Stegostoma tigrinum: one gene and its partner. The protein of the gene in region 1 interacts with the protein of each later gene in a biochemical or structural test. Links are inferred from orthologs where the notes say so. Each region holds a gene or a part of one and is shown on either strand. Other genes may lie near its edges.

Region 1 (7,442 bases):
TTACCACATCCATAATTTTTAACAATATGTGATTCTGCTATCAATAAGTTAATATAATTGACAAGTATTTATTTCCCAGTTAACTTCAAGCAGCATATTATCCCTGTTATCCCATTTAAAATGTTTGACATTTAAAATGTGAGTGGCAATTATGACTTTATGGTTCACACAGATATAAAGTGGCTTTTGACAATATTTTAGTCATAGAGTCATACAGCACGGAAACAGACCCTTTGACCCAGCTTGTCCATGCCAACCAATTTCCTAAATTGAACTAGTGCCATTTGCCTGCATCTGCTCAATATTCCTGTAAGCATTTCCTCTCCACATACCCATCCAAATGTTTTTTAAATGGTATAATTGTACTTGCCTTTACTATTTTATATAATGACAGGGCCTCACAGGTTCTATATCACATCAATCAAGTCGGCTAATACAGCTTGGCTAGTCTAGGTGCGCAACTTGTTAATTGAAAAATATTTTTTGTAAATATTTAAGGTACCTTTATTTAAATAAGACTCAATAAATATATACTGAACTATCATAGTGCTCCCATAAATGGTGAATTTCTAAACTTAACCTTCTTTTTACCTGACCAATCTTAAAAATAACAGCAAGATACCTTTTTATAAAAAAAATCCAGGCAAATCATCCAAAAATATTTTAAAAAATCTTTGTTATATTCCATTTTGATCTTTTATGCATGCCATATATACATAACCATTCAACTACGTAGTAATTTATAGCAAATATACCATTGTCAAACCCATCTTTGGAAAATGCACAGCAATGTTCAAAAGTCAGTTTTCATAACATGATCAGAACTAAGTACAGATTAGTTTCAGTGAATAATCAAACTACATTGTAACTGTATATAAATTTGGTTTTGGAATTAGGTACCTCAGGTTGATTTTTACACTATGATGGTTCATGCACGTATCCAACTCTTAAAGTTAGGAGCATAGAAACCTCCAAAAATATTGCAGGAGTCAGCCATTCGGTCCTTTGAACCTGTATCACCATTCAATATGATCATGCAATTTCAGTATCCTATTTCCCATTTCTCTCCATATTCCTTGATTCCTTTAGCTGCAAGGGCCATGTCCAGCTCCCTCTTGAATATAGGGCCCCAACAGCTCTCTGTGGGAGAGAATTCCACAGGTTTGCAACTCTCTGAGTGAAGAAATTCTTCCTCGTCTCAGTCCTGTATGGCTTACCACTTTATTCTTAGATTAGTTGTGGACTTCCCCATCATTGGGAACATTCTTCCTGGATCTAGTGTGTCCAGTCCTACAGAGATGTTATGTGTGTCTATGAGAATTCCCCCTCATTCTTCTAAATTCCAGCAACTACAAGCCCAGTTGATCCAGTCTCCAAGTTGTGTACTCCAAAGTACATATTTCCTTCAAATGGAATACGATTAGAATCTTGATTATTTTAATTTTTGTACACAGGGAGCCTGAAAAACAAAGGTTAAGGCAGCTCTGATCCGTAATGATCTTTTCGTTGTGGTTCCTTTGTGTTATTAGGCCCTAGAATCACTGAACAACTTCACAATCAAAATTAGATTCTAAAGGAATATACATTTATGTAGCTTCTAATAGTTAAAAGACAAAACTACAAAAATTTGGAATTGTAGCCACTTCTGTAAAGAGTTCACTTCTTTTAAAACCTAGCTTAAGACTTAAATATTTGTGGATTCACGTCCCATGTTACTACTTACACGGCAACAAAGGATAAAATGCGGCTTTGAATGAATCAAGCTAATCTTCAAATTTCTGCATTCTCCAGGCTGAAAGTTTCCCACCATTTCACTTTAACGACTCAAACCTTTAGTGGTGGGACAGCTCGGATGTGATACATCTTGACTGTCATATTCAAATTGGAAAAAGCATTCTCCTGGATACTGGTCAGCATTTCTTTCTGCAACGCCATTACCAAAAACAACTTAATTGGTCATTCCCCCCGTTGACTGTTTATTCGCAAAAAATGTTGACTTATAAAACAGTCGCTGGACTCCAAATTCCATCCCATGCGAGTTTCTTTGGGGTCCTGTAAACGCTACATTTCTTTTTCCGGGTCTTGTTGAATATATGCAGTGACAGCATATGCCCAGTAGGTGTCGGTATGGGTGTGTCCGCTCGATAAGCCTTCTGCTGAGCAAACTTCATGCAGTACCAAGGAAAAAAAAGTTCAGGCAGTGATTAATGAAGTAAGTTATTCTATAGAGTGCAAATTCCCAAGGAAACCGGATGGATTAATTCTAATTAGGGAAGAATATATGATTAATTTGACGCAAAACACTTAAGAAATAATTAAATAGTGTTTTTCTCACACCAAAATCTGCAAACCATACTCATTTACAGTTTATATATCATTTATATATCGAGGAACATGCGCCTGGGTGAATATATGCAAATTATAAAAATCATGTTCAGTCATCCACAGTTTTATTCTTAAATGTATTCTATAATTACTACACATATAACTCCATATATACCTGTGTATACAGTAACAAATCATATTAATAAAATTGTATATAAATAAAAATTAAATTGGCATTTCTTGAAATATATTTTCAGAGAGTTTAGAGAACCTTAAATAACAAATGTTATATTTTTACATTTAACACAATTGGCTGTAAAATAATAAATATCACCAAGCAAAAGAAAAACTAAATCAAGTTGTTTTTCTCATTTTATTCTCACATGTAACTGAGTTTTCTGGTTATAAATTGTTGTCAATGTTTTCTTGTTGTACTGGTAAAACCTGAATATTTATCAAATGCAACCACTGTGACTGAACTACTAAAACCAAATGACAGTTAAAGTTTAACAAAATGGTAACTCATTAACATTGCATTTCATCATAATCTTGCATTACCATAATAACAATAATATTAATTCTAAAATTAAATTAGAAGTTATTCTTAGTGCTGCAAGTCTCAAAGGGGAGGTCCTTCCATCGAGTGAAAAGTAAATACACTACTTCCATAATGAAATAGAGAAAAATATTTCTTCATTTAAAAAATATCCTTGTGAGTTGTGTCTTAGCAAGTGTAAGTACTTTCAGAAAGTAATCACAAAAATGTCTGATGATTTTGGAGACAGTTCAATGGATGAGTTTTAAAATACTTTCTAGTAAATAGAATAGTAAAGAATAGGGCAACGTATTACCCAGTAAGCAACCGCATAAAACACACAGCTCTCTTAGACTATAATATGGTGCACTTTGGTGTTAACAACATGTGAAGGGCCACAAGAACAAGAAGTTCTTTGGATTTTTTTTTGTCAGTAAGATTGAGATCATCCCTTCCTTCCTCTCTCATGTCCACCAAGCGAAACAGCTCCGAGCTTTTTTTTACCTGGTCTTATTCAGCACTTGCATCATTCGCCAGCTTCTTTCCCCTAAACATCGGAACATATTCTGTTTGTGAGACCCACCTTCTGTTCTCACAATATGATTCAATTTTCATTCAAGTGCTACCTTGCCAAACTCCCTCCTGTTGATGTTGTTATTGCTTCCCTTTCGTCCCCTACTGTTCCTGCATTTCAAATCAGACATCGAAACCCTGCTCCCAGGTGAAGAGAGGTCTAAGGAAGGAATTTCAGAGTTTGAGTCACTGTGACTGAAGTTAATGCCAGCAGTGGAGGGATTAAGAAACTGGGGGAAATGCACAGGATTCACAAAGGCAAGGTTGTTGGAAAGTGGGATGGGTTGGAGATGGATTACAGGACAAGGGCCTTCATCCCCCTCCCTCTGGAAATCTATCTTCGTTGCCGGTAACTTACATCAAGTCCCATTCATCAATCATTCCTCTGCTTGCAGACCACGGAAGATCCCATTTTAAATGTCTCATCATGTTCAAATCCCACCAAAATAGTCCTCCTTGTCATATAATTCCTCTCCAACCCATCCCACTTTCCAACAACCTTGCCTAATTCTGTGCATTTGCCCAGTTTCTTAATCTCTCCACTGCTGGCATGAACTTAAGTCACAGTGACCGTAACGTCGGAAACTCCTTCCTTAGACCTCTCTTCACCTGGGAGCGCAGGGTTTGGATGAATTTGGTTTGACAGATTGAAAGTAATTATTAAACGCTGGCTAATGCTTCGTTATAAAAACGCTCACGTAACGCCGAAGAGCCAGCTCTCCTCACAAAATGCAATGACATCGATTTAAAATGGAGCTAATCCATGCTTTGAAAACCCGTTTTACTTCTATTCCAACCTGCACTGCAAAAGCTGTCTTGCCCAGGCTGATTGAGAGGTTGCTCCGCACTCCGCCCGTTTTAATGAGGTTGATTTGCAAAGGCGAAAACATTTCTGGGCAGATATCAGGAATAATAATTACATGTTTTAAAGGACGGCGCCACATCTCCTCGCTCTGGCAGAGAGGAGTGAGAGAAAAAAAAGGTTGGAGGTGATGGCAGGCTGCCAGCTGACGTCAATGGTAGGAGCGATGTGGTTATAAATATAAGAACTGGCGAGAGCTTCCAGCAGCTTCAAACTTCAGCACAGTCAAGACAAACAGGCTCTGAACTCAGCTAAAAGCACACAGAGAGAGCGCGCAGCTTTTCAGGACAGTGCCTCTGCGATAAGAGTTACGTGGTCGATCGACAGGACCTGGTGCTGAACGAGAGCACTCGCACCTTGCCCCCCCCCCCCCAACCCACCCACTCCCCGGTTTTATTTTCGTGAAGGGTTAGTAACCCCTTCTTCCACTTGTTGCAACCACGGCTTTCATGCAAAGTCTGACCAGCTGGGACTCGCGTTGCGACTCGCCATGTTTCCAGACGGCTCCGACCTACATTAATTTGATGGAAGTGGCCAACTTCTACGAGTCGGACTGTTCCCCGAACAAGTTGCACCGCGACCGTTCAATGACAGACCTGGGCATCGGTGACAACGAGAGTGCCATCGACTTCAGCCCATACATCGACCCGGCCACCGCCTCGGCAGCAGGGGGCAACTTTGAGCTCGGCAGCGACCTGCTGACGGATATTATGCTGTCAGACGAGTACAAGAAGAAATCCCTGCCCGACTACAACGCCTACTTGTCGATGATGCGCAGCTCGTCGGCCGGCGCCAGGCACCAGGGCAACATCCTGAGCTGCACCCCGCAGTTCCTGGAGACTCGGCTGGAGCCGGTGTTTGAGCAGAGCCCGGACGGCAAAGGGGTGAAGCAGGAGAGCCGGGAGGAAGAGGCCGCTGCTGGCGGGGGGATGTCAGTGCAGCCTGCAGCAGCGGCGGCCGCCGCCTCCTCTTCCTCGTACGTGAGGCCGCTGCTGCAGTACCAGTGCGTGGCCAGCGGCAGCAACAGCAACCTGTCCACCTCGTCCCTGTCCTCATCCACCACCCCTCCGGCCACCCCGAACTCGGCCGACTCCAGCCGAGCGGCCGCCAAGAACAAGAGCAAAAAGCTGGTGGACAAACACAGCGACGAGTACCGCCTGAGGAGGGAGAGGAACAACATCGCGGTGCGGAAGAGCAGGGACAAGGCCAAGCTCAGGAATGTAGAGACTCAACACAAAGTGCTGGAACTGACCGCCGAGAACGAGCGGCTCCAGAAGCGAGTGGAACAGCTCAGCCGGGAGCTGGCAACTCTGAGAAACTTGTTTAAACAGCTCCCGGAGCATACCCTGCTCAGTGCGTCCAGCAACTGCTGACATTGACTGCACAGCTCCCAATATTTATAGATTCTTATTTTCTTTCTCTCGCCTTTATAATATATATAAAAGCAACGGATATTGTGACTCTTTTGCATAAAGGAGTTGATCAAAAGGACTCTTTGTATATAGAGGATTCTCTGTGTTTACAGCACATTGCAGTAAGCGAGGTTGTATATCGTTTAGATGACCTTAACCCATGCATTTTACAACGGCAGGGAGAGGGATGAATGATGTTTCTTGAAACCAGCACTGCGGGGTTTTATACAGCAATGTATATAAAATGATGCCGTGCTTTAACTGTGACTTTTCTCAGTCGAAACACATGACGCAACAGCGTGTAACTTGCCAAGTGTGAGATTCATTTGTAATTGTCAGATGACAGCAGTTTTTTTATTACAAAATATTTCGGGGTTTTTCTCCCAGTTTCTCCCCCTCCCAAAAATATATATTTCTTTACTTCTCTTGTGTATAGGCTGGGGGTTCGTGCTCCTACTGAGACGCGTTACAACATTAATGTACATTTCTGAATTTTTTTAAAAGAAGTATTATTTTTTGACGCAAAAAACTGCCGTTTTGTAATTTCTCCGGTGCAGTCGCCTCCGTCCCAAAAGAATGGTGGAGGCTGTTGCTCTGAACTAGACGTTATCTTTTCATGTGTCGTATTGTCTCCTTTTCCCCTTTGCTTTTATTTTGTGAAAATGAACTGTATATTTGGGTGGTTCAGTGACGGAAAGGCGATGTTTTCAGCAGTTTGCTGAAATGTTTTCATTTGAATTGCGTCACTCCAGCGGTGACACAGCATGGAAGTGTACTGAAGAACATTTTATTCTGTTCCATGCAACACTTAAATTGGGTACAATGTTGGGTGAAAATTGTACAGTTATTTGCATTTTAGGAATATGTGGTGATTGTTGACTAAAGCTGTAGTATCCCTTTTCAAGCAAGTCAACTTCTAAACCGGTTAAAGTAGGTCATCTCAGGTGGATTGTACAAGACGTTGTGCATGAATTGTGTCGATTATTGCGATTCAGTGTTACGTCAGTTATTAAAGAGACTATTCATTTGAGGGACCGCCTGCCCTTTTTAAAGATTTCATTCTAAAATTACCACGTAAGGGGATGCTACAATTTTATATCAACTTTGATTGTGGGTCAAAGGAATAGAAATTATTTTTTATCAAATGAGCAATATTGTATTTATTTTTCTCTTTTAAAATTGAATTAAAATCAGTTTTAGTGAAACGCAAATATTTGCCTCGCTGCTGTTATTGATTCGTGTCTGTTTTAGGTTTATATTGGAAATCCTATGTTTAATATGACCCATATTAATTTTCGCTGAGGGTAGCCCTGGAACCTCCACTTGTCCTTGGGGCAAATAGTTTTCGTGCACTTGGCGCCTCTGTTTGGGAGATCCCAGAGCTAGATCCTAAATTCACAATTGTGCAGCACAGCATGCTCGTGCAATTAACCCCTCTGCTACAATCTTCAGTGGTTATATCACATTATCCTACCATTCTGCAGCATTGTGTGTCAATGCAGTTTTAATTTGTTTGCAGTTTTAAGTCCTGCAATGTTCTCACATTGTCAAAGTTTCTTACAGCTTCATCTGTCAGTGCCCTAGCTCATGTTATACTTCCCTCCAGCACAATATGCTGACGTACTAACACAGTGACTTGTTCTGCTAGGCAATGCTGGGGGCACCAGGCCACGTCTGCTAATCAGCACATTAGAGCATTGATAGCAGTTTCCAACATAATGCAATGCCCCATTGT
Region 2 (7,798 bases), on another chromosome or scaffold:
ATGTTCAACATCTCAATATAGAGATCACCTTGCTGCATTTTGTTTGCTTTTCTCTAGCGGTGTGGCAAGATTCTCATGAGACAGCGACAAGTTCCCAATTGACGCTCATTATTGCTTATTAAAGAACTTGTTAACATACCAATGTGCTATCAGTTGCAGTCTTATCAAACTACCATCAGGAAAACTCTACATGGAAATCAATGGGTTCTTAGTATGTTCAATTCACTGCCAGCTCCAAAAAACCTCTACGTTGGGCACCAGGAACCAGCATCTCTGGCACGCTCCATAGGCATTGACCACCCCACACACCCCTCATCCTCAGACAATGGAATTCAACATGTGCCAACCTCTCTGAACCCTCGTGGCACATCCCCAATGCTTCAATTTTGCACCTCAGGCCACACCAGCAACTATCACTCTAATATCACAGCAAAGACATTTCAGACACCTAGCTCACAGACTGGACCAGAATTCATCTCGATGAGCTTGCTGTCATTACACTTACTCAGAACACAACACTTACTGGGTCAGGAGATGCCTAAACGAACAGCATCAGAAAGATCAGAAAGTGAATACACCTCCTCCCACCCACCCTCCTGCAAAAATTCCATCCCCTATTCCCAATTCCTCCGCCTCCGCCGCATCTGCTCCCACGATAAGACATTCCACTCCCGCACATCCGATGTCCAAGTTCTTTAAGGACCGCAACTTTCCCCCCACGGTGATCGAGAACGCCCTTGACCGCGTCTCCCGCATTTCCCGCGACACATCCCTCACACCCCGCCCCCGCCACAACCGCCCCAAGAGGATCCCCCTCGTTCTCACACACCACCCTACCAACCTCCGGATACAACGCATTATCCTCCGACACTTCCGCCATTTACAATCCGACCCCACCACCCAAAACATTTTTCCATCCCCTCCCCTGTCTGCTTTCCGGAGAGACCACTCTCTCCGTGACTCCCTTGTTCGCTCCACACTGCCCTCCAACCCCACCACACCCGGCACCTTCCCCTGCAACCGCAGGAAATGCTACACTTGTCCCCACACCTCCTCCCTCACCCCCATCCCAGGCCCCAAGATGACATTCCACATCAAGCAGAGGTTCACCTGCACATCTGCCAATGTGGTATACTGCATCCACTGTACCCGGTGCGGCTTCCTCTACTTTGGGGAAACCAAGCGGAGGCTTGGGGACCGCTTTGCAGAACACCTCCGCTCAGTTCGCAACAAACAACTGTACCTCCCAGTCGCAAACCATTTCCACTCCCCCTCCCATTCTCTTGATGACATGTCCATCATGGGCCTCCTGCACTGCCACAATGATGCCACCCGAAGGTTGCAGGAACAGCAACTCATATTCCGCCTGGGAACCCTGCAGGCCAATGGTATCAATGTGGACTTCACCAGTTTCAAAATCTCCCCTTCCCCTACTGCATCCCTAAACCAGCCCAGTTCATCCCCTCCCCCCACTGCACCACACAACCAGCCCAGCTCTTCCCCCCCACCCACTGCATCCCAAAACCAGTCCAACCTGTCTCTGCCTCCCTAACCGGTTCTTCCTCTCACCCATCCCTTCCTCCCACCCCAAGCCGCACCCCCAGCTACCTACTAACCTCATCCCACCTCCTTGACCTGTCCGTCTTCCCTGGACTGACCTATCCCCTCCCTACCTCCCCACCTACACTCTCTCCACCTATCTTCTTTACTCTCCATCTTCGGTCCGCCTCCCCCTCTCTCCCTATTTATTCCAGTTCCCTCCCCCCATCCCCCTCTCTGATGAAGGGTCTAGGCCCGAAACGTCAGCTTTTGTGCTCCTGAGATGCTGCTTGGCCTGCTGTGTTCATCCAGCTTCACATTTTATTATCTAAGCATCAGAAAGATACTGCACGCCCTGACACACATCACACTACCCTACGTCAGAAACACATTGGAACTCACCTCAAGACTCCTACCACCGCTGGGCATCAGAGTGGGACACAAGCCCATATCGACCCTACCACAAGTGCTCACCTGAACTAAAGACCCACTCCCCACCATGGACAGGACCAATGTCATCTACAAGATCCCCTGCAGGGACTGAGAAACACTACATCGGACAAACAGGAAGGAAACTAACAACAAGAGCACATGAACACCAAATGGCTACAAAAAGACACGACCAATACTCACTCATCTCAATCCACGTGGACAAGGAGAACCACAACTTTGACTGGGATACCACCAAGATCCTGGGACAGGTTAGGCAGGGACAAGCACGAGTATTCCTGGAAGCATGGCACTCTCTACGAAGCAGGCTATTAATAAACACATTGAACTTGACCCCATATACATTCCACTATGGGGGAAAACCTGGAAGTGAGGCAATCCATCACAACAGACATCAGAGGTTTAAAAACCAGGCGGGAAAACACAGCGACACTTCATCAGAGGCTGCACTGAGGATGTTACCCAGCACGGTAACGAAACGTCTGTAGAACAACAAACCAGCTCGGCGAGCCAACTAACCTTAACACCCACAACCCGAGCTACAGATCTACTCCAAAACCTTAGAAACACTTACTCACTCTGAGCCTATATGGATGCTCATAGCGTCCCTGCCTTGCCTTTTTACGCATAGCCATAACACCATAAGACATAGGAGCAGAATTAGACCATTCAGCCCATCAGGTCTGCTCCACCATTCAATCATGGTTGATGTGTTTCTAAATCCCATTCTCATACCTTCTTCCTGTAACCCTTTATTCCGCTTACTAACCAAGAGCCTATCTATCTCTGTCTTAAATACAGTCAATGACTCGCTCTCCATATAACTCTGTGGCAATGAGTTCCAGAGTCACCGCCCTCTGGCTGAAAAATATTATCCTTCACCTCTGTTCTAAAGAGTCATCTCTTCATTCTGAGGCTGTACCTAGTCTCTCCTACTAGTGACAACACCTTCTCCACATCCATACTACCCACGCCTCTCTGTATTTTGTAAGTTTCAATCAGATTCTTCCCATATCCTTCTAAACTCCATCAAGTACAGACCCATAGTCCTCATCCATTCCTCATATAACACGTCCTTCATCCCTGGAATCATTCTTGTAAACATCCTCTGGATTCCTCCAACTCCAGCACATTCTTCCTTAGATACAGGGCAGTAAACTGCTCACAATATTCCAAATGAAGTCTGAGTCGAGCCACGTGCAGACTTAACTACTGCCAAGTTGCCTTGTGCTTCAGATTTCCAAAGCCTTACCCTGTTCAGAACATATTCTATCCATTTATTCTTCCTACCAAAATGCGTAACCTCACACTTTCCCATATTGTATTCCATTTGCTACTTCTTTACCTATTTGCATAGCCTGTCCAAGTCCTTCTGCAGCCTCCCTGCATCCTCAAAATGTACCTGTCCATCCACCCATCTTTATGTCATCTGCAAACTTAGCAATAGCACCCTCAGTTCCTTTGTCCAGATATTAATGTATAACGTGAATAGTTGTGGTCCAACACAGACCCTGCAGAACTCCACTAGTCGCAATCTGTCATAAGATCCCTTGATCCCCACTCTCTGCTTTCTGCCAGTCAGCCAATCATCTATCCGTGCCAGTACCTTGTCCCTAGCGTTGTCATCTTGTTCGGCAGCCATCTGAACAGCACTTTGTGAAAGGCCTTCGGAAATCCAAGTGGGTCACGTTCACTGGCTCTCCTTTGTCTAACTTGTTCGTTACCTCCTTAAAGAATTCTACCACATTTATCAGGGATGGCCTCCCCTTGATGAAGCCATGCTGACTCAGCCCTATTTTACCTTGCATTTCCAAATACTCTGTAATCTCATCCTTAATAATAAACTCTTAAATCTTATCAATGACTAAGCTCAGGCTTACTGGCCTGGAGTTTCCTATCTTCTGCCCCCTCCCTTCTTAAACAGGAATATTATATTAGCTTCACCAGGCTCATATTACTATGGCCTGGCCATGTCATTACAGCACAGTCAGTAAAAGGCAGTGTCATATAGCAGTCCTGGATCTGCTTGATGTAAGCAAAGTCAGGATCCTCTCCTTATGTAGGGTAAGGAGCTGAATGACTGGCAGCACACAATCCACCTTGACTCTTTTTACCCTACTGTGATTTGCTTCTGGAATCAGAATTTGGCAGGCATTAGGGAAGATTAAAGTAGGTGGAACAGCTTTTACTTGTTGGTATAACAAAAACAGTCTATGTCCAAGTGCAGCATATCCTTGAAAATATCCAAAGTTGGAAGTTACAGGTTATAGCCCAAAAGGTTTGTGTGGCATCAGATAAGCTTTCAGAGCGCAGCCCCTTGGTCAGGTGCGGTGTACTCCTTAAACTGTGTGATTTCAAATAAACCTGTTGGATTATGACCTGGTGTTGTGTGACTTCTGACTTTATCCACCCCAGCCCAACACCAGCATCTCCAGGCTTGGGGTGAAAAGTGGCCAATGGTTTTAAATCACATTGCCATTCGTGGGAGCTTGCTACGTACATATAGGTTGTTGCGTTTGTTCCATTACAGAAGTGGCTGGACTAGAAACGTAGTTCAATGACTGTGAAATACTTTGACAAGCGATGTGTCGCTACACAAATGCAGGTGTCTTTGTTAGTGTCCCCATGTGCTGGAACGTGTCTCCACTAATGGGCGGGACAATCTTGTGCACGCCTCGTCTCTGATTGGTTACATCATTCACCAATCGGGCATAGGTCCTCTCTGATGAAGGGTCTAGGCCCGAAACGTCAGCTTTTGTGCTCCTGAGATGCTGCTTGGCCTGCTGTGTTCATCCAGCCTCACATTTTATTATCTTGGAATCTCCAGCATCTGCAGTTCCCATTATCTCTGATGGGTTCTTTCCGGTTGCGGCAGATGATTAGCTCCAGGCGCTGACGATCAGAGCGGGCGGCACGCCAACGCAATACCGGTCGTCTATTGGCCCACCCCGTCAACCGCGTTGCCACTTGATTGGCTTCTAGTACTGTCCATTATAGCATCATGACATCATTGCAGAATACCGGGTACGTATTGTCTAGAGAGGTTATCAATCAAGAAGGGGATTGCGTCAGCCGAACAATGTGCGCTTCTGATTGGTCCTCTCCAGAAAGACCGGCCGTAGGGGGTGGGATCACCGGCATCGAACGGCGGCGGTATCGGCGGCGGGTAAGGCCTGGGACTGCAGGCGGGACGGGAACCGGGGGAGGGAGCGCAGGGATTGTCCGAAGGCCCGGGGTCCAGTAAATTGGAATAATAATGAAGGGGAGGAGTCCCACCGTCGCTCACGCTCGCAGCCCCACCCCCGCCCCCCATCACCCTCCCCTCCCCCTTACCCTCCGCCCACTCACCCTCCCTTACCCCCACCCCCCTTACCCTCCCCCCACTCACCCCCCTTACCCCCCACCCCCCTTACCCTCCGCCCACTCACCCTCCCTTACCCCCACCCCCCTTACCCTCCCCCCACTCACCCCCCTTACCCCCACCCCCCTTACCCTCCCCCCACTCACCCTCCCTTACCCCCACCCCCCCTTACCCTCCCCCCACTCACCCCCCTTACCCCCACCCCCCTTACCCCCACCCCCCTTACCCTCCCCCCACTCACCCTCCCTTACCCCCACCCCCCTTACCCTCCCACCACTCACCCTCCCCTCCCCCTCACCCCCCACCCCTCCCCCTCACCCCCCACCACCCTCACACTCCCTCCCCCCATCGCCCCCACCCCCCCTCACCCTCCCCTCCCCCCTTACCCTCCTCCCTTACCCTCCTCCCCACACCCCCTCACCAACACCTCACAACCTCCAACCCCCCTCCCAGCATCCACCTCACGCCCCCTTCCCAACACTGCCCCCCACAAACACCCACCTCACACCCCTCCCCCCCCAACCTCACAGCCCCCCTTCACCCCACCCCCCCAAATAGTCCCCTCCACCCTACAACCCACAGACCAACTCAAACACCCCCCTCCATCCCACACCCACCCAAACACCCCCATCCACCTCACACCCCCCCAACACCTCCATCCACCTCCCCCCCCCCCACCAAACATCCCACACTGCCCCAAACACCCCCCCACCTCACATCTTCCCAAACACCCCCCCAGCACGTCCCCTCCCACCTCATATCCCCTCCACCCAACACCCTGTCCAAACATCCCCCCCATCTCTCACTCCCCCCAGCACATCCCACCTCCACCTCACCCAACCCCCACCACATCCACCCAACACTTCACATCCCCTCCATCTTACAACCCCCCAAACACCCCACACCCCACCGCATACCCCCTACAGCCCACACCTCCTCCAAACACCCCACTCGACCCTACATCCCCTGACACCTCACACCCCTCCAAACACCCCCTTCCACCTCATACCCCCCCCCCAAACAACCCCTCCACCCCACACGCCCCACCGCATTCTCCCTCCTCATGACCCATCCACTCCACACTCCCCCCCCCCCCCCCCCAACACGACATCCCCCCCAATACCTCTCAACCCCACCACCACACACCCCCCTCCATCTCTCACTCCCCCCAAACACCCCCCTCCATCTCTCACTCTCCCCAAACACCCCCCTCCATCTCTCACTCCCCCCAAACACCCCCCTCCACCTCACATCCCCCCCCCCCCCCTCCCTCTTCCCTCAACACAGACAGTGTTGGGAGTCTGGATGATGCTGTCTGGGAGGTTAGTTGGGGGTGGGTAACCTCAAACTTTTAAAAAATACTTGAATGAGCACTTGAAATGTCATAAAATTCAAGGGTCCTGGCCAAGTGCTGAAAAGTGGGATTTCTGTGCATTTATGGAGTCAGTGTTGATAGAGACACAATAGGCTGAACGGCCTTTTCTGTACTGTGAGATTCTGAGGAGTTGCTGGAGAAACTCAGCAGTTCGGTAGCGAGAGAAACAGTTTTGAGTCTCGTAGAACCTGTCAATTCTGGGCAAGTTATTATGGAGCACGTGCCATTTACTAGCACCGTCAACAACCCTTTCGATTACTGTGATAATTGAGAGTGGACTGGGCAGTCATTGGCAGGTTTGGCTTTATACTTTTTTTGTACAAGGAAATTTTTCACACTATTGGGTAGATGCCAGTGTTGTAATTGTACTGAGCAGCTTGGCTAGGATAGTTCTGGACAAGTGTTCAGCACTATTGTTAGATAATTGTCAGAGCCCATAGCCTTTGCTGAATCCAGCGCCCCCGCCAATGTTTCTTGATACCATGTGGAGTGAATCAAATTGACTGAAGACTGGCACTCCTGGCTGAAGATAGTTGGATAACAAAGTGTGAAGCTGGATGCCAAGCAGCGTCTCAGGAGCACAAAAGCTGACATTTCGGGCCTAGACCCTTCATCAGAGAGGGGGATGGGGAGAGGGTTCTGAAATAAATTGGGAGAGAGGGGGAGGGGGACCAAAGATGGATAGAGGAGAAGATAGTATCAGAGATAATGGGAACTGCAGATGCAGGAGATTCCAAGATAATAAAATGTGAGGCTGGATGAACACAGCAGGCCAAGCAGCATCTCAGGAGCACAAAAGCTGACGTTTCGGGCCTAGACCCTTCATCAGAGAGGGGGATGGGGGGAGGGAACTGGAATAAATAGGGAGAGAGGGGGAGGCGGACCGAAGATGGAGAGTAAAGAAGATAGGTGGAGAAGGTGAGATTACAAGAGAGTTGCAATGGGAGAGAGATTCCCTGAGGTTGGTACCTATCTTCTTTACTCTCCATCTTCGGTCCGCCTCCCCCTCTCTCCCTATTTATTCCAGTTCCCTCCCCCCATCCCCCTCTCTGATGAAGGGTCTAGGCCCGAAA

The links.
Region 2: the proteins of CCAAT/enhancer-binding protein beta-like (region 1) and cebpg form a complex in vitro, tested with the Homo sapiens proteins (2 studies listed by BioGRID and IntAct, with this or other methods). The link is inferred for Stegostoma tigrinum from reciprocal best matches to the Homo sapiens genes CEBPB and CEBPG.

The regions. Positions count from the first base shown.
Region 1 is NC_081372.1:39,758,177-39,765,618, forward strand, and holds CCAAT/enhancer-binding protein beta-like, read left to right. Parts: upstream 1-4,400; 5' UTR 4,401-4,744; coding exon 4,745-5,668; 3' UTR 5,669-6,918; downstream 6,919-7,442. UniProt on the Homo sapiens protein: Important transcription factor regulating the expression of genes involved in immune and inflammatory responses. Also plays a significant role in adipogenesis, as well as in the gluconeogenic pathway, liver regeneration, and hematopoiesis.
Region 2 is NC_081369.1:65,875,859-65,883,656, reverse strand, and holds the start of cebpg (CCAAT/enhancer-binding protein gamma), read left to right. Parts: upstream 1-4,706; 5' UTR 4,707-5,013; intron 5,014-5,031; exon of another isoform or gene 5,032-5,155; intron 5,156-7,798. UniProt on the Homo sapiens protein: Transcription factor that binds to the promoter and the enhancer regions of target genes. Binds to the enhancer element PRE-I (positive regulatory element-I) of the IL-4 gene. Binds to the promoter and the enhancer of the immunoglobulin heavy chain.